Linked DNA regions of Anolis sagrei. The protein of the gene in region 4 purifies or fractionates together with the protein of the main gene of each other region. This does not show direct contact. Links are inferred from orthologs where the notes say so. Each region holds a gene or a part of one and is shown on either strand. Other genes may lie near its edges. The genes, in order: REPS2, AAK1, AP2A1 and RALBP1.

Evidence for each region.
Region 1: the proteins of RALBP1 (region 4) and REPS2 purify together in Homo sapiens (affinity purification with mass spectrometry; 3 studies listed by BioGRID and IntAct, counting the BioPlex papers as one, with this or other methods). This does not show direct contact. The link is inferred for Anolis sagrei from reciprocal best matches to the Homo sapiens genes RALBP1 and REPS2.
Region 2: the proteins of RALBP1 (region 4) and AAK1 purify together in Homo sapiens (affinity purification with mass spectrometry; 3 studies listed by BioGRID and IntAct, counting the BioPlex papers as one, with this or other methods). This does not show direct contact. The link is inferred for Anolis sagrei from reciprocal best matches to the Homo sapiens genes RALBP1 and AAK1.
Region 3: the proteins of RALBP1 (region 4) and AP2A1 purify together in Homo sapiens (affinity purification with mass spectrometry; 5 studies listed by BioGRID and IntAct, with this or other methods). This does not show direct contact. The link is inferred for Anolis sagrei from reciprocal best matches to the Homo sapiens genes RALBP1 and AP2A1.

Annotation. Positions count from the first base shown.
Region 1 is NC_090023.1:90,116,180-90,123,475, reverse strand, and holds the start of REPS2 (ralBP1-associated Eps domain-containing protein 2), read left to right. Parts: upstream 1-4,286; 5' UTR 4,287-4,534; coding exon 4,535-4,732; intron 4,733-7,296. UniProt on the Homo sapiens protein: Involved in ligand-dependent receptor mediated endocytosis of the EGF and insulin receptors as part of the Ral signaling pathway. By controlling growth factor receptors endocytosis may regulate cell survival.
Region 2 is NC_090027.1:20,520,101-20,527,327, reverse strand, and holds the start of AAK1 (AP2-associated protein kinase 1), read left to right. Parts: upstream 1-4,212; 5' UTR 4,213-4,633; intron 4,634-7,227.
Region 3 is NC_090026.1:28,906,355-28,913,920, reverse strand, and holds the start of AP2A1 (AP-2 complex subunit alpha-1), read left to right. Parts: upstream 1-4,554; 5' UTR 4,555-4,645; coding exon 4,646-4,712; intron 4,713-7,566.
Region 4 is NC_090024.1:64,796,776-64,803,783, forward strand, and holds the start of RALBP1 (ralA-binding protein 1), read left to right. Parts: upstream 1-3,995; 5' UTR 3,996-4,261; intron 4,262-4,453; exon of another isoform or gene 4,454-4,535; intron 4,536-7,008. UniProt on the Homo sapiens protein: Multifunctional protein that functions as a downstream effector of RALA and RALB. As a GTPase-activating protein/GAP can inactivate CDC42 and RAC1 by stimulating their GTPase activity.

The DNA.
Region 1 (7,296 bases), on a different chromosome or scaffold from region 4:
CGAAAGGCAATGCGAACCGCCGTGGAAGATGGCGGAGTCGCTGATGTCGACCTCGTGGACCTGATCGATCTCACTGATGCCACAGAGCTGGCCGAAGAGTGCCGGATGCGTACAGTCTCGGTTGTGACTGTGCATGGAGCCTTCTGCTTTGTAGGCTTTGCCGCCTTAGAAGCTACCGACACCGAGGCCTTGGAGGTTGTCGACATAGCTGCTCTCGGCCTCTTTTGCGCAGCCTTCTTCTCCCTGGTCTGGCGGGGCTCGGCGTCCGCCGAGGGATCGACAGATTTTGATGTCGATGCTACCTTCGACTTCGAGCCCGAAGTCGAAGTTGAAGGCCTGGATACCGCGGCCGACGTCGACGCCGATGTCGATGTTGAAGGTACCGGAGCCAACGTCTGCTGGTAGAGCAGGTATCGAAGCCGATGGACCCGATTTTTTCGGGACTGTGCCGTCAAAGATTGACAATGACGACACGAAGAAGTGATATGTGCCTCGCCGAGACACAAAAGACAAAGAGTGTGCTTGTCCGAATCAGGAATCTTCCTCGGGCAATTCACACATCTTTTAAAGCGAGTTGTTGACATAATATAGTCAAACAACTCGAAGAAATCTGAGAATCTCTATCCAACGAAGTTCCGAAGCGAGCCGTGCGGCGGAAAAACAGGAATTGGATCGGTGTGCGCGGGGCGCCCTTTTATCCCCTGCCGGGGCTGGGCGGGGTTACCGCCAAAACTTGAAAGTTTTAAAATGTAGAAGTTTCCGTTGGAGCCCGCGCAGGCGCAGTCTCTCCACAAGTGTGAATTCGCAGAGACCACGAAGAAAAAAAAAATTACACCCATTTCTTGTGTCTAAATCCATTTCTTTGGATTTCCAAATTGAGATGTAGATTTGTGTGTGAATTGAATAACCTTCCAAACAGGTTGATCTAAAGCAAAGACAGTATGACCTTCATATCTGTTGGATCACTGTGCAAGAAAATGTAAATTCTAGACATTTTCTAGGTCCTACGACTCTATAGTATTCTTGAGTCCTTTATTTTAATAGGGTTTGCTATTATCTGCTGTTTTGCATATCCATACACACTGGGAACATATCCCCCATGGATACTGTACTATAATGGGTTTGGTGCATGCCTCATGCCAGATTTCTGAAATCTCTCTCTCTGTGTGTATGTACAACACCATATTTTCAGAACCTATCATTCCATTATTAACTTAGAATCACAGACCCTCTTTGAGCTCCTATACAAGCTACACCCTCTTCTCAGTATAACCTTCATTCGTCCCATTAAAAACAATGGCGTTTGTTAATATCCACAGTTTCATGTATTGAAATGAAGTCTAGGAACATATCCCCTGCATAGATGGTGGGTCATAATGTATGTGCCTTCTAGTTGTTAGGGACAACTCCCAAAAATACAGCAGAGCATTCAAAACTACAAACATGATACTTATAGTTTGAGCATTCAGCTCACAGCAGACAGAGTGTGAAGTGTTGTAGTCAGAAAAGAATTTAGTGTTTAGGATTCAAAGTTGCAGAGTTCAATTTTTAAAGTTACACAAGTTTTATTTACAAAAATAATAACTACATTTTTAATAGTAAATAACTGGGTCTCAGCCACTCCATCTTTTCTAGGGTTCACAAGAGAGGGGGAAATCTCCAAGTACTACATCTCTCCTGACACACCCAAGCAGAGAAAGGTGTCAATACACAGATGTAAAAAAGCAGAAGTATGAAACAAAGGCATGCACCTGTAAAGTATCCATTCTACATAGCCAATCAGAATGAGAGCAGAAAGAGGGAGAAGATAACCAATAGACACATTCCATCTGTCATTCAGGAGCCAGGGGAAAGGGATTCCCTCAGTCTATACCAGTGGTTCTCAACCTGTGGATCCCCAGATGTTTTGGCCTTCAACTCCCAAAAATCCCCAACAGCTGGTAAACTGACTGGGATTTCTGGGAGTTGTAAGCCAAAATACCTGGGGACCCACGGGTTGAGAACTACTGCTTTAGATAATACTATATCACCTGGGGCTATTAGGAATTGTGGGAATTGGAGTCCAAAACACCTAGAGGGCCCAAGTTTGCCGGAACAAACGTGCTGCATCTAGATTGTAGAATTACTGCACTTTGATGCCAAACTAGCATGGCTCAATACAACTAAATTGTGGGAGCTGTCATTTAACCAACTCTTTAGCCTTTCCTGCCACATAGCGCCCCACCAAAGCTGCAACTCTTGGGTCTCCATGGGGAGCCATAGAAGTTAAAAGTGCTATCAAGCTGTCTTCATTCTAGAGTGCAGATGCACCCGTCTTTTCGCCTTCTCAGGATTCCCCAGCCCAGCGTTTCTCAACCTAGGGGTCCCAAGGGGGTTTCAGAGGGATCACCAAAGACCATCATAAAACATATATTTCTGATGGCCTTAGGAACCCTTTTGGCAGTGAAAGATGAAGATCTCTCCAGTGTCCTTCTCTTCCTTTTTGGAAAACAGATGGCAAATCCTCCCACCAAAAACTCTCCTCCCCTGTGATTGGCTGGCCTCTCAGGCAGCCTCTTAGTCAAGGAGAGGGCTGTTTCTGAGACTCCAAGGGGGGGGGGGAGGGGAGAGCAGGCGTGCCTGGTGCATGGCTGTGTGGCACACATATGCAGGCAATGGAGCATGTGAGTCTGGAGGGAGGCTTGTGCCAGTGTGTCCCTTCAAGGCCTCTCAGCCAAGGGGAGGGCTGTTACTAAGACTCCAAGTGGGGAGGGAACAGCAGACATTCTCAATGGCAGCTTGGTGCACATGTGTGGATGAGGGAGAGCGTGTGAGGCTGGAGGGAGGCTCACACCAGTGAGTCCCTTCAAGACATGGGGATTCTGTGTGGGAAGTTTAACTCAATGCTATCGTTGGTAGGATTCAGAATGCTCTTTGACTGTAGGTGAACTATAAATCCCAGCAACTACAACTCCCAAATGTTAAGATCTATTTACAGCAAACTCGACCATTGTTCACATTTGGGCATATTGAGTATTTGTGCCAAGTTTGGTCCATCATTGCTGGAGTCCACAGTGTTTTCTGGATGTAGGTGAACTACAACTCCAGAACTCAAGCTCAATGCCCAGCAAACCCTTCCAGTATTTTCTGTTGGTCAAGGGAGTTCTGAGTGCCAAGTTTGTTTCAATTCCATTATTGGTGGGGTTCAGAATGCTCTTTGATTGTAGGTGAACTATAAATCCCAGCAATTACAGCTCCCAAATGGCAAGGTCTATTTCCTCCAAACTCCATCAGTGTTCAGATTTGGGCATATTATTGAGTATTTGTGTCAAGTTTGGTCCAGATCCATCATTGTTGGATTATACAGTGTGTAGGTGAACTTTTTTTTTTTGTCGTGTCAGGAGCGACTTGAGAAAGTGCAAGTCGTTTCTGGTGTGAAAGAATTAGCCATTGCCCAGGGGATGCCGGATGTTTTGATGTTTTTACCATCCTTGTGGGAGACTGCTCTCATGTCCCCGCATGAAGAGCTAGAGCTGATAGAGGGAGCTCATCTGCGCTCTCCCCAGATTCGAACCTGCGACCTGTCGGTCTTCAGTCCTGCCAGCACAGGGGTTTAACCCACTGCACCACTGGGGGCTCCTTGTAGGTGAACTACAACTCCAAAACTCAAGCTCAATGCTCACCAAGCCCTTCCAGTATTTTCTGTTGGTCAAGAGAGTTCTGCGTGCCAAGTTTGGTTCAATTCCATTGTTGGTGTTCAGAATGCTCTTTGATTGTAGGTGAACTATAATTCCCAGCAACTACAACTTCCAAAGGACAAAATCAATCCTCCCCCCCCCCCCATCCCACCAGTATTCAAATGTGGACGTATCGGGTATTTGTGCCCAGTTTGGTCCAGCAAATGAAAATCCATCCTGCATATCAGATATTTACATTACAATTCATATCAAAGTAGCAAAATTAGTGTTATGAAATAGCAAGGAAAATAATGTTGTGGTTGGGGATCACCACAACAGGAGGAAGCATATTAGTTTATGAAAATCCATCCTGCAGATCAGCTATTTACATAAGGATTCCTAACAGTAGCAAAATGAGTTATGAAGGAGCAACCAAAATAATGTTATTACGGATGGTTGGGGGGGGGGGGGTCACCACAACATGAGGAAGGGTGGAAGACCCTGCCCTAGCCTTTGAGCCACGCAAGCTTCCCTGCTCCAAAACTTGAGCCTTCCTCTGCGGAGTCCAGGGAGGACGAAGTGGGAGAAGAGGAGGAGGAGGAGGAGGAGGAGGAGGAGGAGGAAGTGGAGGCACGTGCCTCGGGGAAGGGAGCCTCCTTCCCCTCCTCCTTCCTTCCTTCCTTCCTTCCCCCTTTTCCTCCTCTTCCTCTTCTCCTTCTCTCTTCCTGCAGCTGCTGCTGCTGCCTTGCCGCCTCCCTCCCGCTGTTTTTGCCGCAGAAAGGGAGGACAGCGGAGGGAGAGGAGGCGAGCGCGGCTGCAGAGGCGGCGGCGGCGGCGGAGCCTCTTGGGCAGGACTTGGGGGCGCCGTTGCCCCTGCAATGGAGGCCCCCTCCTCCTCCTCCTCCTCCTCCTCCTCCTCCGGGGAGCAGCAGCAGCAGCAGCGCTACGCGGAGCTCTTCTGCCTTTGCGGCGGAGGCGGCAGCGGGAACGCCGCGGGCTCCGAGGCAGGCGCCTCCGGCAGCAAGGTGGCCGAGCTGTTCCGGGCGTCGCAGCTCCCTCCCGAGGCCCTCCTCCAGGTGAGGCAAGAGTGCTCCTGGACATGTGCAGAGCGCACCCCCCCCCCCCCCCCAGGGCATCCACACCAGGCATGGGCGCATGTTAGCCTTCCCTCCAGGTGCTTTGGACTTCCACCATCCCTAACAGCCTCAGGCCCTTCCTTTCCCCCCTCAGACCCTTAAGCGAGGCTCTTAGGGATGGTGGGAGTTGAAGTCCAAAACACCTGGAGGGAGGGCTGAAGTTTGCCCATGCCTGTTCTACACCAGATAAACCCAGTATTGTGAACGAATATGGAACGGCTTAACGATGCAAATGGACATGGATTTCAACCCAGAAGTCATTGATTCTAATAGTTTTAAATTGTTTTAAAATTAATTTTATTACGTGATTTAACCTGTTTTAAATGGTGTATTTATGTGTGTTCGGCATCTAATTGTTGCCAGTCTGTACGCCGCCCTGAGTCGTCTTTGGGCTGAAAAGGGCGGGAGAAAATTGTGACAAATAAATAAATAAATAAACTGTAGAATTGTTTTTCATGCCAGGTGCCACTTTATTTATTTATTTCGTATCGTATTGCATGAATTAGTATGAAACAGATAAAATAGAAAGTGTGCAGGCATCTAAATGTCTTTTGACCAAAAACGGGCAACAGCAACGGCATTGTCTGTAGCCTCCAACAATTCATCCTATGTACATGAGGCAGGGCATAATGGACAAGCACTTGACGAACTGCAATTCGCTTCTGGTGTGAGAGAATTGGCTGTCTGCAAGGACATTACCCAGGGGACGCCCAGATGTTTTACCATCTTTGTGGGAGGCTTCTCTCATGTCCCCAAATGGGGAGCTGGAGTTGGCAGAGGGAGCTCATCCACATTCTCCCCAGATTCGAACCTGCGACCTTTCGGTCTTCAGTCCTGCCTGCACAAGGGTTTTAACCCACTGCACCACCGGGGGCTCTTAGTACCACATGGGGCCCTTCCACACAGCCCTGTATCCCAGAACATCAAGGCAGAAAATCCCACATTATCTGAGTGTGGACTCAGATAACCCAGTTCAAAGCATATTATGGTATTTTCTGTCTTGATATTCTGGGATATAGGGCTGTGTGGAAGGGTGCTTGGACCTCTATGGCTCAATGCTCTGGAATCCTTGGAGTTCCCTCACTCAACTGCAACTTCCACGATTCCTGCAGGTTTGAGCCATAGCAGTGAAAGGAGTGTCAAACTGCATTAGTGTATAGAGAGGCACCTTCTAAGGGCCATTCCACACCGCCCTATATCCCAGAATATCAAGGCAGAAAAATCCCACATTATTTGAGTGTGGATTCAGATAACCCAGCTCAAACCAGATATTGTGGGATTTTCTGCCTTGATATTGTAGGATATAGGGCTGCGTGGAAGGGCCCTAAATGAGTTCTCTTTGGACAGAAAAAGTAGCTCCAATTGAGATTTGGATGAAAATAAATAAGCTGGATGAATTCCCTCTATGTTCTGAAAGCCTTTTTCCTTCCCTTGAGTGTTTTCTCTTTTGAAAAGGGGATTCATTACCTTTTGAACATCAATAAAGGTAGAGCAGGCCTGGGCAAACTTGGGCCCTCCGGGTGTTTGGACTTCAACTCCCACCATTCCTAACAGCCTCAGGCCCCTTCCTTTCCCCCCTCGGCCACTTAAGCAGCTGAGGGGGGAAAGGAAAGGGCCTGAGGTTGTTAGGAATGGTGGGAGTTGAAGTTCAAAACACCCAGAGGGCCCAAGTTTGCCCAGGCCTGAGGCAGAGTCTCCCATCTCTGAAATAATTTGGACCTGAAGCATCTTGGATGTTAGAATATATGTATTCAAGTTGTGTTTCCCTGTTCTGAAATGCTTGTAATCAGAAGTGTTTTGGATTTTGGAATATATACATCTACAAGTTGAGTCTCCCTTCTCCAAAATGTTTGGGACTAGAAGGTGTTTTGGATTCACATTTTTGGAATATGTTCTGGTTGAGTCTCTCTTTTCCCTACGTGTTTTGGATTTCCGATTTTGGAGTATATAGCCATACAGATTGAGTGCCCTCCCATACAGCTGAATAAACCCTATATTTTCTGCTTTGAACTGGGATATATGGTTATGTGGACTCAGGGCCCTTCCACACAGCCCTATATCCTAGTATATCAAGGCAGGAAATCCCACAATATCTGCTTTGAACTGGGTTATCTGAATCCACACTTAGATAATGTGGGATTTTCTGCTTTGATATTCTGGGTTATATTGTTGTTGGGTTATATTGGTCCCTGAGTCCTCCTTCTCCTAAATACATGAGACTAGGAGTGTTTGGGTTTCGGATTTTGAAATAAATATATCTATTCAGGTTGAATCTCCCTTCTCTAAAGTGCTTCGGACCTGAAGTATTTTGATTTCAGGTTTTACTGGATTTTGGAATCCCTGTATTTGCATATACGATTACACGCATAATGAAATAGCTAGGCAGTGGAACCCAAGTCTAAATACGAAACTAATTTATGCTTCAAATATAGCCTAGACATGTTGCCTGAATGTAATTTTATACTGTACTTTAAATAATTTTGTGCATGAAATCAGGTTTGTGT
Region 2 (7,227 bases), on a different chromosome or scaffold from region 4:
GGTGGGTCAGTCCCATCAAATCCCTCCAGTACATTCAGTTCTTCCTGGGGTTCTGTGTGCCAAGTTAGGTCCCAGTCCATCATTGATAGGGTGCAGAGTGCTCTTTGACTGCAGGTGAACTATAAATCCCAGTACAACTAACAAATGTCAAAGCCCAAAATCCACTAGCATTCACATTTGGGCATATTGGGTATGCATGCCAAATTTGCTACAGTAAGTCGTAGCAGGATCAAGTGTGTGCTAAAGAAAAATCTTATGATGTTAATTATTATGTGCAGCTGGTAATGTAGGTCAGTCAACAACCTCCATGAACCTTTTACATCTACTGAATTGGACATGGCTCTCAACAAATGTAAGAATGGCAAAGCAGCTGGCTTGGATGATCTACGGATGGAACAAATCAAGAACTTTGGTCGACGGACATTTAACCAACTACAAAGTTTGCAAAATCTGTGTGGTTTTTTTTCTTTTTCTTTTTAATCTGTGTGTTTGTTTTGTTCTGTTAGAATTGTAACACAATGGTATGGTTTCTGATAACACGATAAATAAACATGTTTGGGCCACACCTGGTGGGGTATAACTGTATGGATTTTAGAATACAGTTTGGAGAAGCAATACGCTACTCCGAGGAAGAGAAGCAATATGCTGTAATGCTGCTATGCTCAACAGCGATGCTCTTTGCTATGGTGGAATAGCTATTTACTCAAGGTTTATGTTTTGTTCTCTCATTTGAATGAAGACGAAGAAGCCTTGTTCTGTGTTACTTACAAGGACTATGTAAATTTGTTGTACTGTTTGATTTTGTATGCAACACTGCAAGTTTATGCCTCTGCTGATAAGTTTTTCTGTTCCTTTTTCCTCTTGCCTGTGTGTCTTATGCATGGGACTTGGCTAAAATCCGCTTCTGCGCAGCAAAATTTTGTGCAGATCCATTGTTGTTTGCAATCACAGTGCTCTCTGGATGTAGGTGAACTAGAATTCCTATAATGACAAATTCCTTCCAAAAATCTCCTGCATTTTCTCGTGAAACCCTCTTATAGTGGCGAGGCAACGGGGATGTTGGGAGGGGAGAGGCTGGCTACTACCACATCACATTGTCGACTCATATTATTCTCAGTCGCAGATACCTGATTTAGTTTTGACATAAAATGAGCACATTTTTTTCTCTATCTATACACATAATAAAAGTTGAAATATGTATGTGGCAAGAGAGTCCACTTACACAAAGTTCTACAAGCAGCTATAGTTCCCAGCCATCAGGAGACACAAAAGGCCCTCCCTCAAACATTGAAAGTTATAGTGAGCACCATGAACATGTCTAAATGCCTGCCAATGTTCTCCACAGACACCAGACCGCCCACCCCCCAGTGAAAGCTTTCATAAGGGGACAATTTCAACCTAGATTTTTAGTGAATGAGGGTTTTTGAGTGGAAAAAAACAACCCATGCAATTCCTGACGTGGCCACTGGGGGCGACGAAGGACCGTCCATAGGCAAAGGGTGGTTGCATGAAGAAGCTGAATCTCAAAGGAGAGCAATTCCCGATGTGGCCACTGGGGGCGGCAAAAGGTAGGTTGTTGTATATAAATATTATGACTATTGTTATTGTTACTACATTTGTTATTACCGGTAATTTATTATTATTATTATTATTATTATTATTATTATTATTATTATTAATTATTTGCTGACACAAAACCACAGTATGCCACAGCAAATGAGATCTGTATGCTGGATTTCGTATCACAAAATCACAAGTTGAACATTTCCCAAGCGTCTAGGACTGTGTGATGCATTTTTGAATGATACGCGCAGATCTAAGTAAGGTGGCCTTTTGCAGTTAACAGATCGTGATTTTGTTACATTTTTAGAGTTTCCAAATGCCCTTTGAGATCTTTTGGCACGTCACCCAGTGTGCCGATGACCACTGGGACCACCTGGGCTGGTTTATGCCAGAGCCTTTGCAGTTCGATTTTGAGGTCCTGATAACGGCTGAGTTTTTTCCTGTTGTTTTTCCTCAATGTGACTGTCACCCGTATGGCGACATCAATAATCCAAACTTTTTTTCTTTTCCACAATTGTGATGTCTGGTGTATTGTGTTCCAAAACTTTGTCAGTCTGGATCTGAAAGTCCCACAGTATTTTTGCGTGTTCATTTTCCACTCCTGTTGCAGGTTTATGATCCCACCAATTCTTTACTACTAGTAGGTGGTACTTGTGACATAAGTTCCAGTGAATCATGCCAGTGAATTATTATTATTATTATTATTATTAGTAGTAGTATTACTATTTGAAACACAACAAGATGAGTCCACAGCAAACAAGGTCACTCTGCTGGCTGTTGTATTGGATCACATGTCGGACACTTCCCAAGTGTTTAGGACTGTGTGATGTATTGGCGAATAACGCGTGCAGATCCGAGCAGGGTGGCCTTTTGCAGAGACTTACAGAAACAAGCTCCTGCTTGTTCATTTACAGAGAAAATTTCCTCCACAAACAGGTACAGCTCCCACCACTCAGGAGACACTCATGGCCTTCCCTCTAATGACATTGCAGGTTCATGGGGAGCACCAAGAACATGTCCAAGAACTCTGCCAGTGTCCTCCACCAACCCCATACTGCCTACCACACAAGTGACCGCATCTCTGTGTACAAACCCACACGATCTCTTCATTCATCTGGAGAGGCCCTGCTCACGATCCCACCTGCATCGCAAGCGTGATTGGTGGGGACGAGGGATAGGGCTTTTTTGGTGGTGGCCCCTCGACTCTGGAACTCCCTCCCTAAGGACATCAGGCAGGCCCCATCACTAGCAATCTTTAGGAGGAGCTTGAAAACATGGTTGTTCCAGTGCGCCTTCCCAGAATAAGGAAACTCCTAGCATTATGTCCCAACGCACTTTATCAGAGATCCAAGATATCTGCATGCCCCCCCCCCCCACCAAACACTCCACCTGGTCATGCCCAGCACTTTTAATTTTTAATTATTACATTTGGCCCTGCCATTGATTTTAATTGTGTCGTTGTGTGCTGTTAATGTTATTGTTTTGTTTTTTAGTTATTTTGCTGTTTGTTGTTGCTGTTGTTTTTACTATTGTATTTGGGCTCAGCCTCTTGTAAGCTGCACTGAGTCCTTTGGGAGATGGTAGCGGGGTACAAATAAAGGTTTATTATTATTATTATTATTATTATTATTATTTCATAAGGGGACTGTTTCATCCTAGATTTTATGTGCTTCCTCCACCACAGACACCCGTGTTTATTATTATTATTATTATTAAATTATTATTAAATCTATTATTATTTCTATTATTATTATACATACAACAAGATGAGTCCACAAGCAGACAAGATCACTCTGCTGGCTGTTGTATTGGATCACACGTTGGACATTTCCCAAGTGTCTAGGACTATGTGATGTATCGGCGAATAATGCGTGCAGATCCCAGTAAGGTGGCCTTTTGTAGCTGGCAGATGGTAATTTTGTCAGCCCTGATTGTGTTTAAGTGCAGGCCAAGATCTTCAGGCACTGCACCCAGTGTGCCAATCACCACTGGGACCACCCTGACTGGCTTGTGCCAGAGTCTTTGTAGTTCGATCTTTAAATCCTCATGTGTCAGTTTTTCCAGTTGTTTCTCTTCAATCCTGCTGTCACCTGGGATTGCAACATTATTAAAGTTATTATTATTATTATTATTATCATTATAATTAGAGATTTCTGGTCTGCTTTGGGTCTTGGTTCCTAAGATCAAAGCAGGAAATAAACCTATTATATAATAATAATAACCTATTAGTATTGTTATCACCATTAAGCTTTGGGCCCAGTTCCTTTTTGGTGGAGGCTGGGACTCCAAAACCGGCTCTAGCCAACAGATGACACATAATCCTGCCATTCAGAGCACACCACTCCATTGCGCCTGCGCAGCACTATGTCGCGCGCGACGCCTATCGGGGCTTGTAGTCCCCCGCAGAGCCAAACGACTCGGAGTCCGGGAACCCCTCCTCCCAGGATGCAACGCGTCGCGAACGTCTTATTTTCCGGGGGGGAGGGGTGGGAAAAAAGGAGTGAAAACCAAATAAGTTGTTGTTCTTCTCATTATTATTATTATCATATTCTAGGGATAATTATCATTCTTCTGCTTTGTGTCGCCATGACTGAAAAGATTTTGATGAAAGGGCTTGTATGAGGGGAAAGGCGGCGCTTTCCGGGCAGGAAGGGGTGAAAGGGGCGGGGCTTGAGGTAGCCCTTCCTACTTGGCTCCGCCCCCTCGCTCCGGCTCTTCCTAGCAGCGGGGCCCCTCCCGCCGCCCGGCTGGCTCTGTGGAAGCGGCGAGAGCGTCTCTTCCTCCTCCTCCTCCTCCTCAGTGAGGCCTTCCTCACCGGCGGAGCCTGCCTTTCCTGAAGCCTGAGGGGGAAAAGGAAGCAGGCAGGCGGGCACGAGGAGCAGGAGAAGCCGGGGACTGGGCCTCCTCCTTGCCTGCCTTCCTTCCTTCCTTCATTCGGCATGGTCTCCTCCCCGCCGGCCCCGGTCGCTGAGCGAGAAGCCGAGGCGGAAGTGGCGGCGGAAGGGCCTGGGAGCGATGCCGGAAGGAGGCCGCCCAGGCGGGCAGCGCAGCCCAGCAGCCCCCCCAGCAGGTGAGCAGGAAGCCAGGGAGCCCCAAGGCATCATCCCTATCTATCTACTTACCTACCTATCTATCTGTCATTTACCTGTTTATCTATACCTATCTATCTATCATTTATCTATTTATTTACCTACCTATCTACCTACCAGTCTATCTACCTACCTAACATTTACCTGTTTATCTACCAACCTATTTATTTACCTATCTTTTAATCATTTACCTATTTATCTATCTACCTACCTACCTATCTATTTATCATTTACCTATTTATCTATTTATCTACCCACCTATTTATTTACCTATCTGTTTATCATTTACATATTTATTTATCAATCTATTTATCTACCTACTTACCTACCTACTACTTATCTATTTATCATTTAACTATTTATCTATTTTATCTACCCACCTACCTATTTACCTTTCTATCTATTTATCCTTTACCTATTTATCTATTTATCTACCCACCTATCTATTTATTTACCTATCTATTTATCTACCTACTTACCTAGCTTTTTACCTATTTATCTACCCACCTACCTATCTATTTGCCTATCTATTTATCATTTACCTATTTATCTACCTACTTACCTATCTATTTACCATTTACCTATTTACCTATTTATCTACCCACCTACCCATCTTAATTTCACAAAGACTATGCATGTAGACTGTTGCACACATCTATTTACCTATCTATCTATCATTTACCTATTTATCTACCCACCTACTTATCTATTTACCTATCTATCTATTTACCATTTACCTATTTATCTATTTGTCTACCCACCTACCTATCTATTTGCCTGTCTATCTATTTATCATTTACCTATTTATCTATTTATCTACGCACCTACTTATCTATTTACCTATCTATTTACCATTTACCTATTTATCTATTTGTCTACCCACCTACCTATCTATTTGCCTGTCTGTCTATTTATCATTTACCTATTTATCTATTTATCTACCTACTTACCTATCTATTTATCATTTACCTATTTATCTACCCACCTACATATTTATTATTTACCTATTTACCTATTTATCTATTTATCTATCTATCTATCTATCTATCTATTTATCTATTTACCTATCCACCCACATGTATATATACACACATAAATAGATATATACATATACATGCATGCATATACACACATAAACATGCAAATACATACAGGGAGGGGGAGACCTCCTAATACATATCTATCCAGCTATTCACAGATACATATGCATACATACATACATACATACACACACACACATAAGCACATAATTTACCAATCCACCCATATGTATATATACATACATAAATGCATGCATATACACACATAAACGTGCATATACATACAGGCAGGGGGAGACCCCTAATACATATCTATCTAGCTAGCTATTCACACATATATACATACACATAAGAACATAATTTACCTACCCACCCACATGTATATATACATACATAAATATGTATGCATGCATATACACACATAAACATACCAATCCACCCACATGTACATATATATAAATAGATATATACACACGCATGCATGCATATACACACATAAACATACAAATACATATAGGCGAGACCCCCTAATACATATCTATGTATCTATCAATTCATACATACATATACATACATACACATATGCATATTAATATATTCATATACAAACCTGTACATATACAAACCTGTACATGTATACATTGTAATATAACAGTACTAATATTAATAATGTTGTAATATAATATGTTAGACTACAACTAATTAAATAGTACAATATATTATATAATACGAATGGTGTCCTATACTAGTAGTGTTATAGTAGTGTTATATACATATATACATATACATATATACATATATACATATATACATATATATATATATATATATATATATATATATATATAGTGGTATACGGCACAATGTAATACTAGATAATATAATAATTATATATAATATGACTAATATTTCAGTATAGTACAGTAAAATAATATATAATACTAACATTGTGCTATGCTAAGAACACAATATGTTGTGTATACAGATAATAGTAATAATATAATATAATACAATATAATAATAATATTGTAACAGTACTAATATATAAAATATACTGTTAACATATAATAATGTATAATGGTAATGCTGTTTTATTATTAGTACATTAGTACATTTTAAGTTGTATTGTAATATTTTTAATTGTGAGCCATGTTGAGTCTCCATATGGAGAGATAAAGTGGGATGTAAATAAATAAATATACACACATGCACATAAATCTATGCATACATATACCTACATATTTATATGCACATAAATATATACATACACATACACACATGTATACATACATGTATAAATACATACACACCTCTATACATACAGATCCTTTCACACTACATAAATACATATAAACCTATACATAAATACATATATATACATATACAAATAAATACACATTCAGTCACATGCGCACATATATGTGTGTGTGTGTGTGTGTGTATAACACATCTATCCAGAGCTCCCCTATCCCGTCTCCACCATTTTCCTGTCATTCCTGTATCCCTCCTGTTCCTTTCTTCCAGGGCCGCCCCAA
Region 3 (7,566 bases), on a different chromosome or scaffold from region 4:
AGTGGAGTTTGGATTTAGATACAAGGCTTGTGGATACGATGTCTGCCTTTAAAATGTCCTTTAGCCCTTCCCCATCCTCAGAGCCAGAAGTGATGTTGGGTTGCCATTCCCATTATCCCCAGTCTGTATGGCAGATAATCAAAAGTGATGTGAGTTGTCATTCAATAAAATCTGGTGACTCAAACTGAGGAAAAAGAGCACCTACCACTATGTCAAAAAATTATAGTGGGCCCTCTGTATCCAAGGATTCTCCATTAATGGATTCAATGGCCCTTCCACAGCAAACATAAGGCTGATGTGACCCTCAATGTAAATGAATCTGACACCCCTGATCCACACATTTCTGATTCTGGGACAATCCACAATCCCAACAAAGGATTCCCCTAGGCAGTATGAAGCCAGACCTTGAAAACTGCTAGGCCATTAAATGCTAATCGAAGTGGCAAATGGAAACATTCACACCTACCTCCAACAGACAAGAGTTATTTCTCCCACCCTGGACATTCCACAGATATATAAACCCCATGTTTCTAGTTTCCAACGGACTTCACAAGTTCTGAGGATCCCTGCCATAGATGCAGGCAAAATGTCAGGAGAGAATGGTTCTAGAACATGGCCATACAGCCCGAAAAACTCACAGCAACCCAACTCTCAAAGAGTTCTCAGGGACAAAATTTGAGGATTCAGTGCCACCAAAATCTTAAATTTGGCTGCAATGTTATGCCTATATATCTACCAGGAACTCTGGTGATAGTTAGAGGAGACCTCAAAGGCAATCCAGTCTAACCCCATTCTGCCATGAAGGAACACACAATCAAAGCATTCCTGACAGATGGCCATCCAGCTTCTGCTTAAAAGCCTCCAGAGAAGGAGACTCCACCACACTTTGAGGCAGTATATTCCACTGCCAAACACCTCTTACCATTAGGAGTGCTTCCTAAGATTTGTTTCTGCACAGGCCTATGTAGATGAGCACTATTAATGTACTTCACCCTATGCCTCTGCATTAAAGAGGAACAGATTTCCCTGGTAAACATAACAGCTTTGACAGAAAACAACATTTTCTTGCTCTCCATGCCTGACAAAGTAACTACTGTAGATTAAGATCAAAAGCTTGTTTGCTTTGCAAACTAAGAACCAAAATATACATGACAGCACCCATAGAGGAACGGTTTTCCCATTTAAATACTTCCTGCAAAACCTGTCATATAAAAACATCCTCACATTGAGGGTTTTGAACAAGTAGCATCAGCCGAATCCGATGCTACGTTATTTTTTTTTACAACGGAAAGGGTTGACTCAGGGTGCAACTACATCCTGTTCTTTTCTTGCATGTCAGGGGGTTGGAATAGATGGCCCATTTGGTCTTCTCCAATTCTATTATTCTATGTTTCTATATACTGCAGAATTAATGCAGTTTAGCATGGCTTTAATTGCGATGGAATCCCGGATTTTGTAGTTTTGATGAGGCAACAGCAGCGTGGGAAAGCTGAAGACCTTGTAAAACTACAACTCCCAGGATCCCATAGCATTGAGCCATGGCAATTAAAGTGGTGTCTAACTGCATTAATTCTACAGGCATGGGCAAACTTGGGCCCTCCAGGTGTTTTGGACTTCTACAATTCCTAAGAGCCAGTAGGGTCCAAGTTTGCCCATGCCTGGTGTAGAAGCACCCTTAATTACTTACTTAGGCAATCCTTCGTTGCTAGAGGATGATGGTCTTCCAGATGTGGTGTCTTGGCGGTGGGTCTGTAGGTGGCTGTGGAGCCCTGTTCCCGATCCGCATGTTCTCCCACAGTGAGGACATCGGTTTCCAAATGGAAGGCTGTCCTGGTCAGGGTTGGCGTGGCGCACCTTCCTCTTGGCACGTTTCTTTCTTTCGCCCTCCATTTGTGCTTCAAATTCCGCAGCACCGCTGGTCACAGCTGACCTCCAGTTAGAGCACTCAAGGGTCAGGGCTTCCCAGTTCTCGGTGTCTATGCCACTGTTTTTAAGGTTGGCTTTAAGCCCCTCTTTAAATCTCTTTTCCTGTCCACCAACATTATGTTTCCCATTCTTGAGTTGGGAGTATAGTAACTGCTTTGGGAGACGGTGATTGGGCATTCGGACAGTGTGGCCGGTCCAGCAGAGTTGATGGCGGAGGACCATTGCTTCAGTGCTGGTGGTCTTTGCTTCTTCCAGCACGCTGATATTTGTCCGCTTGTCTTCCTAAGAGATTTGCAGGATTTTCCAGAGGCAGTGCTGATGGAATCGTTTTAGTAGTTGCATGTGACATCTGTAGATAGTCCACGTTTCGCAGGCATACAGCAGGATTGGGAGGACAATAGCTTTATTAACAAGCACCTTGGTAAACCCTATGGATGTTCTGGTCCTCAAACACTCTGTGCTGCATTTGGACGAATGCTGCACTCGCAGAATTCAGGCGGTTTTGTATTTCAGTGTCAATGCTGACTTTTGTGGAGAGGTGGGTGCCAAGGTAGCGGAAATGGTCAACATTTTCTAACGTTACACCATTAAATTGTATTTTTGGCATTGCAGAGGGATTCGCTGATGCCTGCTGGAAGAGCACTTTGGTTTTCTCGATATTCAGTGAGAGGCCGAGTTTCTCATATGCTTCTGCAAAGGTGTTTAGAGTGGCTTGTAGAGATAGCACACACTACATTGTCATCAGCATATTGGAGTTCTATAACAGATGTTGTGACCTTGGTTTTGGCTTTCAGTCTACTGAAGTTAAATAGCTTGCCCAGAAGTGGTTTGGCATTTAAATTCTCTAGAAACAGATCCTAGATAGCACTTGCCATATCTTCACATTGCTCTATATAAGTACTATTTTTTATCTTTAAAAAAAATAAAATGGTACTAAAAACTTACTAATTCTCATCTTAATAAATATTTTAAGCAATATTGGGAATGATAATTTCAAAATAATATTACTATTATTGTAAATAAGTATTATATTTATTATAATAAATATATATTATTATTATTAAATACTACTACTAAGATTGTTTATTTAGTAGCCATCCCCTGCCACACATTGCTGTGGCCCACTCTGGTGGTCATGGGGGTTCTGTGTGGGAGGTTTGGCCCAATTCTATCATCGGTGGGGTTCAGAATGCTTTGTGATTGTAGGTGAACTATAACTCCCAGCAACTACAACTCACAAATGTCAAGATTCTATTTTCCCCAAACTCCACCAGTGCTCACATTTGGGCATATTGAGTATTTGTGAAGAATTTGGTCCAGATCCATCATTGTTTGAGTCCACAGTGCTCTCTGGATGTTGGTGAACTACAACTCCAAAACCAAAGGATACTGCCCACCAAACCCTTCCAGTATTTTCTGTTGGCCATAGGAGAACTGTGTGGCAAGTTTGGTTCAATTCCATCGTTGGTGCGGTTCAGAATGCTCTTGGATTGTAGGTGAACTACAAATCCCAGCAACTACAACTCCCAAATGACGAAATCCATTTTTTTAGTGTCTTGTGTCCAAATTTGGTGTCAACTTGTCCAGTGGTTTTTAGGTTCTATTAATCCCACAAACGAACATTACATTTTTATTTATATAGATTTATTTATGACATTTATATGCCGCCCTTCTCACACCGGAGGGGAATTAGAGCGGCTTACAAAATATATATACATACAATATATTATATTATTAGCATAGTACAATATCAGTATTAAATATTACTATATTGTACTATACCATTATATTGAAATATTATTAGTAATATTACATGTAAAATAAATATGTAATTATAATAATATATTATTATTATTATATTGCATTACATTATAATATTATAAATATTATATGTATATACAATAAATTATATTATATTACATTATATTAAATAATATAAACATTAGACTATCAACAACAATAAATGTAGAAGAAATAATAGTACACTTAGATAAGAAGAACTCGAACCACATGGAAGAGGATTTGAATCCATGCCTTTCCATCCTTTAACATTTCTCTTTTGCGCCTATTGGCTCAAACCTCGTGACGTCAGCTGCCCCTCCCAGCCCAGTCTCCAAGTCTCCTCTCCCCAATGTTCCTTTTGCCGCCGTTCCGCTGTCACCTCTTTTAGCCAATGAAAAGAAGCATGCTGCTTGAATGACAAGAAGCTCTTCCTCCAATAAGAACCCAGAAGAAGTGTTGACTGTCCATCAGTGGGGCGGGAACTAAGCGTGCTGATTTCGCAAGAAGCTGGAGAGAAGGAGGGCGGGATATCCCTTGAAGGACATTCCTCAGAACCACTAAGAAGAAGAGATTGTCTACAAAGGGGCGGGAGGGAAAGAACTATAGGCGGGACATGTCCTAACCTACGCCCAATGGAAAATGCAGGACGGCAGGGGACTTATTTGACATAAGGGGCATGGCGGAGCCAATAGGGAGAGGGATAGGCGGGATTTAATCCTCTCTGCCAATCATCTAGGAGGATGCTTTGCCTTCAGTGAATAGGAACAAGGATGGACTTGACAGGCGGGGTCTCAAGCCAATGGGATGCAAAATCGCCTACGACGGACGTAGAGAGCGGCCAATGGGATAGTCCCTGGTCGGTTCGGTGCTGCTGGGCCAGGTTTCGGGCGCGGAGCGGAACGGAGCGTCGCCGGGGTCCCGATCCGCCACCGCCACCATGCCGGCCGTTTCCAAGGGAGACGGGATGCGGGGCCTGGCCGTATTTATCTCCGATATCCGAAACTGTGAGCAAATGGGGAAGGCTGGAGGAGAACGGGAGGGGAGGGGCCGTTGAAGAGGAAGGAGGGAATGGGAGAGGGCCGAAGGGGGGCTCGGAAAGGGGCCTCGGGTGGGATTGCGGCCGGGAAGGAGGCAGGAAGCCGGTTGACGGCCAGGCTAGGCCAGGCCAGGCCAAGGAGGGCCCTTGGGAGGGGCTCCTGGGGGCCCCTTGGCTCCAGCCTTGCTCTTGGAGAAAAATTGTGAGGGCATCCACACTGTGGAGTTGATCCAGTTCCATCCCACTTTAATTGCCATTGCTTGGGACCCTGGGAGTTGTAGTTTGGCCAGGCACCAGCACCCCTTTTTTTGACAGACCTTGTGAAACTACAGCTCCCAGGATGCCCTGGGAGTCCCAAGTTTTTGCCAAACTGAGCTAGTTCCACAACTGTGTCTCCACTGCACAATTATAGCGCTTTTAACCCCACTTTCACTGCCATGGGATCCTGGGAGTTGTAGTTTGTTGGGGCACCAGAGCTGTATATGCCTCACAAAACTACAACTTCCCCAGGACTGGATAGCATTGAGTGATTGCAATTAAGAGTGGGATCAAAACTGCATTAGGGTTGTTGTAGGTTTTTTCGGGCTATATGGCCATGGTCTAGAGCAGTGGTTCTCAACCTGGGGTCTCCACATGTTTTTGGCCTACAACTCCCAGAAATCCCAGCCAGTTTACCAGCTATTAGGATTTCTGGGAGTTGAAGGCCAAAAACATCTGGGGACCCCAGGTTGAGAACCACTGGTCTAGAGGCATTCTCTCCTGACGTTTCGCCTGCATCCATGGCAAGCATCCTCAAACATAGTGAGGTCTGTTGGAAGTAGGAAAAAGGGTTTATATATCTGTGGAATGACCAGGGTGGGACAAAGGACTCTTGTCTGCTGGAGCTAGGTGTGAATGTTTCAACTGACCACCTTGATTAGCATACACTATAATGACCTGAGAGTGCCTGAGAGGTGATTAGACAATACATAAAACTGCATTAATTCTACAGTGTGGATATAGTTCAGGCTGGCTGGCTGGCAAGGGGAGATTTGACTAAGGCAGGCATGGGCAAACTTTGACCCTCCAGGTGCTTTGAACTCCCAAAATTTCTAACAGCCGGCTGTTAGGAATTGTGGGAGTTGATGTCCAAAACACCTGGAGGGCCAAAGTTTGCCCATACCTGCTCTAAGGTGATAAGTTGGACTTACGAGTTGGCTACAGTGTCAGCTGTAGGTTGGGTGACAGGTTTGGCTTAGGAGTTCACTTGGGGACATAGGGTGAAATATAAATAAAGTATTATTATTATTTGATACATAATAATATTAGTACACAGTAAACAAGATCACTATCCTGGCTTTTGTGTTTGCTCACACGCCGGATACTTCCCAAGTGTCTAGGACTCTGTGATGTTTCGGCAAATAATGTGTGCAGATTCTAGTAGGGTGGCCTTTTGCAGCTGACAGATGGTATTTTTGTCAGCGTCTATTGTTTTTAGGTGCAGGCCAAGGTCTTTAGGCACTGCACCCAGTGTGCCAATCACCACTGGGACCGCCTTTGCCGTCTTGTGCCAGAGTCTTTGCAGTTTTATCTTTAAATCCTCACATCGTGTCAGCCTTTCCAGTTGCTTCTCATCAATCCTGCTGTCGCGTGGGATTGCAACATCAAAGATCCATACTTGGTTTTTTTCCACAATTGTGAGGTCAGGAGTATTGTGTTTCCAAGAACTTGTCAGTCTGAATTTGGAAGTCTCAGAATTGTTTGATGTGTTTATTTTCGTAACTTTTTCAGGCTTGTAATTCCACCAATTCTTTGTCACAGGCAGATGGTATATTATTATTATTATTATTATTATTATTATTATAGCAAAGCAGCTTTTTGGAACTAACTTGAAAAACAGAGCGAGCCACCAGGTGCCAATGTGGAAGATGGACATTGTTGTATGGTTGTAGACTGTGGTCTCATCTCCACTGACTATTTAACACAGTTTCAAACTGACATTGAAGAAAGTGGTTTCGTCGTGCAGATGAATACACAAAGGAAACCCTGGTCCAGATGGTGATAAGACAAACTATACAGAGGATTTTCTTTCACACACTTTTGTGGGACTTTCTCGATGCCACAGTTTGAAGCTAGGTCTGAATTGCATTAAATGGTCAGTGCAGATGGGGCTTGTGTGGAGGTGGACTAGGGAGTGGGTGCTGGAGAATATGAGGGTTGCAAAGGAAAAAGGGGCATGAGAACCAAGGTTAAATATTTGAAAGGATGTCATGTTGATGAGTGGACAAGCTTTGTTTTCTGCTGCTCCAGAGACTAGGACACAGTGGAGCCGTAGATTCAAATGATTGAAAATGAGATTTCACCTGAATATTAGGAAGAATTTCCTGACCATGAGAGCTGTTCAATAGTGGAACTCTGCTTCAGAGTGGGATGGAGTCTCCTGCTCTATAGGCTTTTTAACAGAAGCAGGATGGCCATCTGTTGGGAGTGCTTTGATTATGTGTTCCTACATCGCAGGGGTTGGACTGGATTGCCTTTGTGATCTCTTCCAATTTTATCATTAAGTGTCTGGTTTTTACCTGATTTCTGATATTTGGAGGGAGAAAAAGTGGGGTGCAATAAAAAAGCAAAAAAAAGTTGTCAACGGAGAATGTGAGAAGGGCTCATGAGGCAGGAAGAAAGGAACAAACTCTCATCCTGGTTTGTTCATGTGTGGATTTCAATGCCCTTCTTCATTCCCATGTTCCCACAACAAGGGCATTCAAAAAGTGAATCATACACAAAAATCCAAAACTAGGGAAATGGACACATTCCATAGTACAGGATTACATTTTCTTGGGAAG
Region 4 (7,008 bases):
CACAAAAAGAATCCAAGGAGTCTATCTTCCCCCATACTCCAGCTTCACTGAATAAACACATTGTAGAATTTGAGAAAAGTCAGGAGAGATTCTTCACACTCTCAAGTGGGGACTTGGGCCAGACAAATAATCCCAACACTTAAAAAGTACAGCAAGAGAGATGCCCCATCTCTTCTGGTACACTTAGTTTCTCTTTCAAGATCAGAAAAAGAGCAAAGGCTGCTGCAAAACAAATTGGTGAACCCTGCTATTAGGCTACAGATCTTTTTTATGCTATTTTTAAAGCCTGTGCATAAAGCAAAGTGGCAGCCCACTGCATCCATCTGTTCTGCAAATTGCTTGGTCGAATGCCACAGCATTGTGCAACAATTCAATGACCATCCTTAGCATCTACAATGTCTTTCTAGATGCTAAAGATGATACCCTTCTTTCAATAAACTGAAAGCCATGATTACAACTATCCTCCTCTTCCTTGTTGTCACAACCTTCTTGAAAAAGTAGATTATGGTGAGAAAGTAGATCATCTTGTCTATTTCACAGCCAGGTAGGGACTTGACCTTAAGCCTCCCAAACCCCAGTCTGACATTCTTCATCAATGCCATTAACTCTCAGCTAATATCACAAGTCACCACTGGCCCCAAAAACCTTTTAACCCAGTCACTATAGCAGTGAAGAGTGTGTGTGTGTGTGTGTGTATGTATGTGTGTGTGTGTGTGTGTGTGTGTGTGTGTGTATATATATATATATATATAGGAGCAGTTGCTTTCTCACAAGCAAAGATGAACGGTGAACAAAAAGTCTTGCTAGTTTTGGAAACACTGCCCTGATCACCGCCACTTGTATCTCAGTTGTTGGAGCAAGGGTACACTCAGTAGTATTCTTCTGCATAAGCAACAAAGGAGGTATTTATAAATCCGGGTGTAATATGAGCAGATTAGTTGCCTTTCCCTTTTAAATGCTGTCTGTCAGCCCTTCCCTTTTATTAATTTATGAAACTGGCTGGGAGCCCAAGTGTAGTCATAAGAAGCTGACTGAATGTTGTGTGGGCTTACCAACATTTGAGAAATAGGGAGGAAGGTAAACAGATCCCAAGGGCCTGCAAGGGAGGCCACAGATAAAATTCACTGCAGAATGAATGCAGTTTGACACTACTTTAACTGCTGTGCCACAATGCTATGGAATACGGAAGATGCAGTTTCACAAGGTCTTTAGTCTTTTCTGGCAAAGACTGCTGTTGCCTCACCAAATGACAAGTGCCAGAATTCCAGAACACTGAGACATGGCAGTTAAAACTGGTGTCAAACTGCAATCATTCTGCAGTATAGATGCACCCATAGACTGATACTAGCCAATTGAATGTCACAAAAACCAATGCAAATTCACATTCCCTTGCTGGTTTGCTTGGATCAGAAAGCAGAGCTGCCCAACTTTTTGCCTGTCAGCTAAGGAGCTACATGGTCCTCAACAGGCAATTTTCAAAGAATAGGGGTATTCAAAGGCACTGCCAATGCAGCAGTCTTGTCTGTCTACCATACACACTTTAACTTTTAGTTGCTCTTTGGTGGAAATGAGTACCAACACTTTCAAAATGTACTACTTCACCAACGATTCCTAACCTTTGATCTCTACAGGTGTTTTGGATTTCAGCTCCCAAAATCCCTGGCAGTTGGCCAAGCCAGCTGGGGCTCCTGGGAGTTGGGGTCCAAACATTGGGAGGACCAGAGGTTAGGAACAACTGCATAACAGCACTGTAACAAACTCAGCCCCTTCCTTAAGAAATGGGGCCACAAAGTGGAGTTCACGACACGTGGGTGTGGAGAAGGGAAAACCACAGATTATTTGCTACAATGCAGTCTGAGCTCTGCCACATGCACAACGAAGGACCTTCTTACAGTGGCGCCAGAGGCACTCGAAGTGGCCAGTTTCTAGTCAAAGGAAATTTAACATAATGTCAAGTTTTTAACTCTGATTGCATTTTTAAAATACATAAATATTCTCAACTTGCTTCTGACACAATAAATAAATAGCCCCTTCCTTCAATGTGGGGTGCAACCAAACTATACTCACTTACTTAGGCAATCTCTCGTTGTCCGTGTATGATGGCCTTTCAAGGCTTCCCAATTCTTGGTGTTTGTGACTGTGAAGCCCTATTCTTGACTCACATGTTCTTCCACAGTGAGGGCATCCATTTCCAGGTGGCAGTCCCAGTCAGGGTTGGCTTGACGCGCCTTCCTCTTGGCACATTTCTCCCTTTCGCCCTCCATTCATACTTCTTCGAATTCTACAGCACTGCTGGTCACAGCTGACGTCCAGTTAGAGCGCTCAAGGGCCAGAGCTTCCCAGTTCTCGGTGCCCATGCAACAGTTTTTAAGGTTTGCTTTGTGTATATTTAAGCTTAAATATATTAATATTTAACTACATTATATTTAAGGAACAGCCACACTGTAGAACGGATGCAGCCTAACACTACTTGAACTTCCAGGGCTTATTTATTTTTTATCGTATCAGCAGCAAACCAAGGGTACAGTTGTGATGTATGTGAGAAACACAAAGTTTAAAAACGTGATATTATAATAAATTTCCGTTGACCAGTCGCTGGCCACTTGGAGTGCCTATGATGTTGCTATAAGGAGGTCTTCCATTGTGCACATGGCAAGGTTCAGGCTGCATTGTAATAGGTGGTCTGTGGTTTATTCTTCTGCACACTCACATGTCATGGACTCGATTTTGTGGCCCCATTTCTTAAGGTTGGCTCTGCATCCCGTGGTGCAGTCTGTTCAGTGCTTTCCAAGTCGCCTAGTCTTCTGTGTGCCCAGGAGGGAGTCTCTCATTTGGTATCAGCCATGGATTGAGGTGCTGGGTTTTAGCCTGCCACTTTTGGACTCTCGCTTGCCAAGGTGTTCCTGCAAGTATATTCCAGGGCTCGAGGCTATAGAATCCTGGGAGTTGTACTTTGGTGGGGCATCAGCATTCTTTGGCAGAGAAGGCGAGATTTTTGACCTTAGAAAACTACAAACCAGTTAGAGCACTCAAGGGCCAGGGCTTCCCAGTTCTAAATGTCTGTGACTATGGAGCCCTAATTCTTGATCCACATATTCTTCCACAGAGAGGACAGGTGGAAGGCAGTCCCGGTTAGGGTTTGCTTGATGCATCTTCCTCTTGGCACATTTCTCCCTTTTACCCTCCATTCATGACTCTTAGAATTCTGCAGCACTGCTGGCCACAGCTGACCTCCAGTTAGAGGGCCAGGGCTTCCCAAGGGTCAGGGCTTCCCAGTTCTCGGTGCCCATGCCACAGTTTGTAAGGTTCACTTTAAGTATATATTTAAGCTTAAATATATTAATATATATTAAATATTTGGTAAATTACATTCAAGCAATAGCCACACTGTAGAACGGATGCAGCCTGGCATTACTTGAACATCTAGGACTCAAGGCTATAGAACCCTGGGAGTTGTAGTTTGTCATCAGCATTCTTTGGCAGAGAAGGAGACTTTAGACCTTTGAAAACTACAAACCTCACGATTCTACAGTATGGCAATTAAAGTGGTGTCAAATGACATTAAAACGTACCCTCTGCCATGTATACATTTCGACAGCTTACTTAGGAATAGACCCCACATATAATAATAATGAGCAAACCTGGGCCCTCCAGGTGCTTTGGACTTCAACTCCCACCATTCCTAACAGCCTCAGGCCCCTTCCAATGGAAGGGGCCTGAGGCTGTTAGGAATGGTGGGAGTTGAAGTCCAAAGCACCTTGGAGAGCCCAAGTTTGCCCCTGCCTATACTTATGGCTCCAACAGAAACCCCACTGCACTCCCTGCCTTGTTAAGACTTCCTTTCCCAAGATGCATCACAAGGGAGAAAGGGGGGGGCGGGGCGTAGGGCAACACGGAGCCACACTTCATTCGTTATGTAAGCATAGGAAGAGCAGGAGGAGGAAGTGCGCATGCGCACTTGTGCCCCCTCCAACCTTTTCTGGCCTCCTCTCGAAGGGCTCACTTCTCGGGTTCTTCCGACAGCTCCTCCCCACGCGCATGCGCCGCCTGATTCCGGCCTCTGCCCGGAAAAGCCGGAAGGAGTCCGCGCATGCGCCTCGGAGCCGCCGCCGCCGCCCCCTGCTCGCCTCGCGCCAGGCTTACTCCACAGGCGACGGCGGGATGGGGCCTGAAGGCGGGCCGCCCTGACGCCGGAAGGGAGCAGAGCCGTCCTGCGTCAGCGACGACGGGACCCCCGCCTCCTCCTCCTCTTCTTCCTCAGGTCGGTGCTAAGGCTCCCCACTTCCCCCCGCCGCTTTCTTTCCCACCGGGGTTTAAACCACTCCCTCCCCTCACTCCCACCCCCCCCCCCCCGAGAATGTGGGCGGCCGTTGATCCGCCGCTGAGGCGCCCCCTGTACTGCGCACGCGCAAGAGGAGGGCCTCGCGCCCTCTAGCGCCCTGGCGGGGAATTGAATCACTCTGAACCCCTCGCAGGGTTTCCATTCCAACTCTTGTCTTTTTCCCACCAACTTCCCAATGTCAGCTGGTTTCATGGTGAGTAGAACATGCAGTGATAATAAATGAAATTTACCAGCCTGCTTCTGTTTCGTAATACACCAATCCTGTTGCCTGCCAATAGGCAATAGTAGGGCTTCAAGGGGGTTAGGATGGCAGTGGTATTGGCCATCATCCCAGCAACCTGTATGTGAACAGAACTAGATGTATTTGGTAGATTTTGAAATTTTGGACAACGGGTATGATATTTTCGGTATGGTTTTTAGCGTTAGTCTCCTTTGGGAGAGAAGATACGTATTTTATATATATTTATTTTATTAATATTTATTTTATTAATATTTATTTATTTATTTATTTTATATATATATTTTATATATATATTTTATATATATATATATTTTATATATATATATAAAATATATATATAAAATAAATAAATTTTATATATATATATATTTTATATATATATATATATATATATATATATATATATATATATATATATATATATATAAAATATATATATATATAAAATTTATTTATTTTATATATATATTTTATATATATATATAAAATATATATATATATAAAATATATATATAAAATATATATATAAAATAAATAAATAAATAAATAAATAAATAAATAAATAAATAAATAAATAAATAAATAAATAAATAAATAAATAAATAAATAAATGTAATGTTCGTTTGTGGGATTAACATAACTCAAAAACCACTGGACGAATTCACACCAAATTTGGACACAATTCACCTATCAGGCCAACAAGTGACCATCACTCATAAAAACACAGCAGAAGGGACTTAAAAAGCCAAAAAAGCAAAAAGGAGAGACTTTAGACCTTAGAAAACTACAAACCTCACGATTCTACAGTATGGCAAGTAAAGTGGTGTCAAATGACATTGCTACAGCACATGCGCAAAAATGACTTCCCCAGCAAACAAAACACACAATAGCATATCCACACTCTCTTCTAGACTACAACTTCCAGCATCCCATAGACCAGGCCCTTTAGGAGAGGAGGATGATCCACATGCACTGCTTCCAAGATGCAAGCAAGATGCAAGCTTTCTTCACCTTGGATCTCAATCCCTGCATATTTCAAATTTTCTATTCCTGGACTGCAACCCCCAGCAATCCTCCAGATAGATTTGATAGAGATAGATAGGTAGGTAGATAGATCGATCAGGAGGACTGCTGGGAGTTGCAATCCAAGAATAAGTAGAGAAGGAAGAACTGGGAGAAAGAGAAAGGGAAAGAAAAGGGAGAGAAGGAAGGGAAGAGGAAGAGAAGAAAGGAAGGAAGGAAGGAAAGAAAAAGGAAGGGAGGAGAGAAAGAAAAAGGAGAGAAAGAGGGAGGGAAGGTTGGCCACAGTAACACGTGCCAGGTACAGCAAGTAATACATATAATAATAATAATAATAGGAGCCCCAGTGACTCAGTGAGTTAAACCGCTGAGCTGCTGAACTTGCTGATCAAAAGATTGTAGGTTCGAATCCAGGTAGCAGCATGAGCTCCCACTGTTAGCCCCAGCTTCTGCCTACCTAGCAGTTCAAAAACATGCAAATGTGAATAGATCAATAGGTACTGCTAAGGCGGGAAGATAACGGCGCTCCATGGAGTCATGCCGGCCACATGAACTTGGAGGTTTCTACGGACAACGCCGGCTCTTCAGCTTAGAAATTGAGATGAGCACCACCCCCCAGAGTTGGAAACTGTTAGATTTAATGTCAAAGAGAAAACTTTACTAATACCAAACTATGCAGAGAACAATATAATGACAAATTGACAACATGGAGAGAAGGAAAACGTACCAGAAAATCATGAGTCAGACACGACTGGACTTAATGTCAGGGGAAAATCTTTACCTTAATAATAATAATAATAATAATAATAATAATAATATACAACTTTCTGGATCCTATTGCCTTCTAGCCTACTTTCACAACTATTTTATTATTGTTATTGTTGCTGTTGTTATTATTATTATTTAATTGTCTCCTTCCACCATCTCCCCGAAGGGACTTGGAGCGGATCACAAAAGCGCTCAATAATATGATAACACAAAATCTAATAGGTATGTATTTTGTATAGATATGCTTTTTTGCAAGAGGCTTTAATATCACTCCATACTACAGGTGAAGGAGTGGGTTTATATCCATGAAAACACATACTAAAATAAAAACCAGATGTTGTCGCACTCTTCTTTTTCTCCCCTGCTTTCTTTTTGTGCTGCAAGAGACTGAGGGATCAACTACACCAGGTATGCACAAACTTTGGCCCTCCAGGTGTTTTGGACTCCCACAATTCCTAACAGCCTATTGGCTATTAGGAATTGTGGGAGTTAAAGTCCAAAACACCTTGAGGGTCGAAGTTTACCCATGCCTGATTTACACTGTGGAATGAATGCAGTTTGACACCACTTTAACTGCCATGGCTCAATGCTATGCAGACAGTGGTGTGGTAGTTTTACAAGGTCTTTCGCCTTCTCT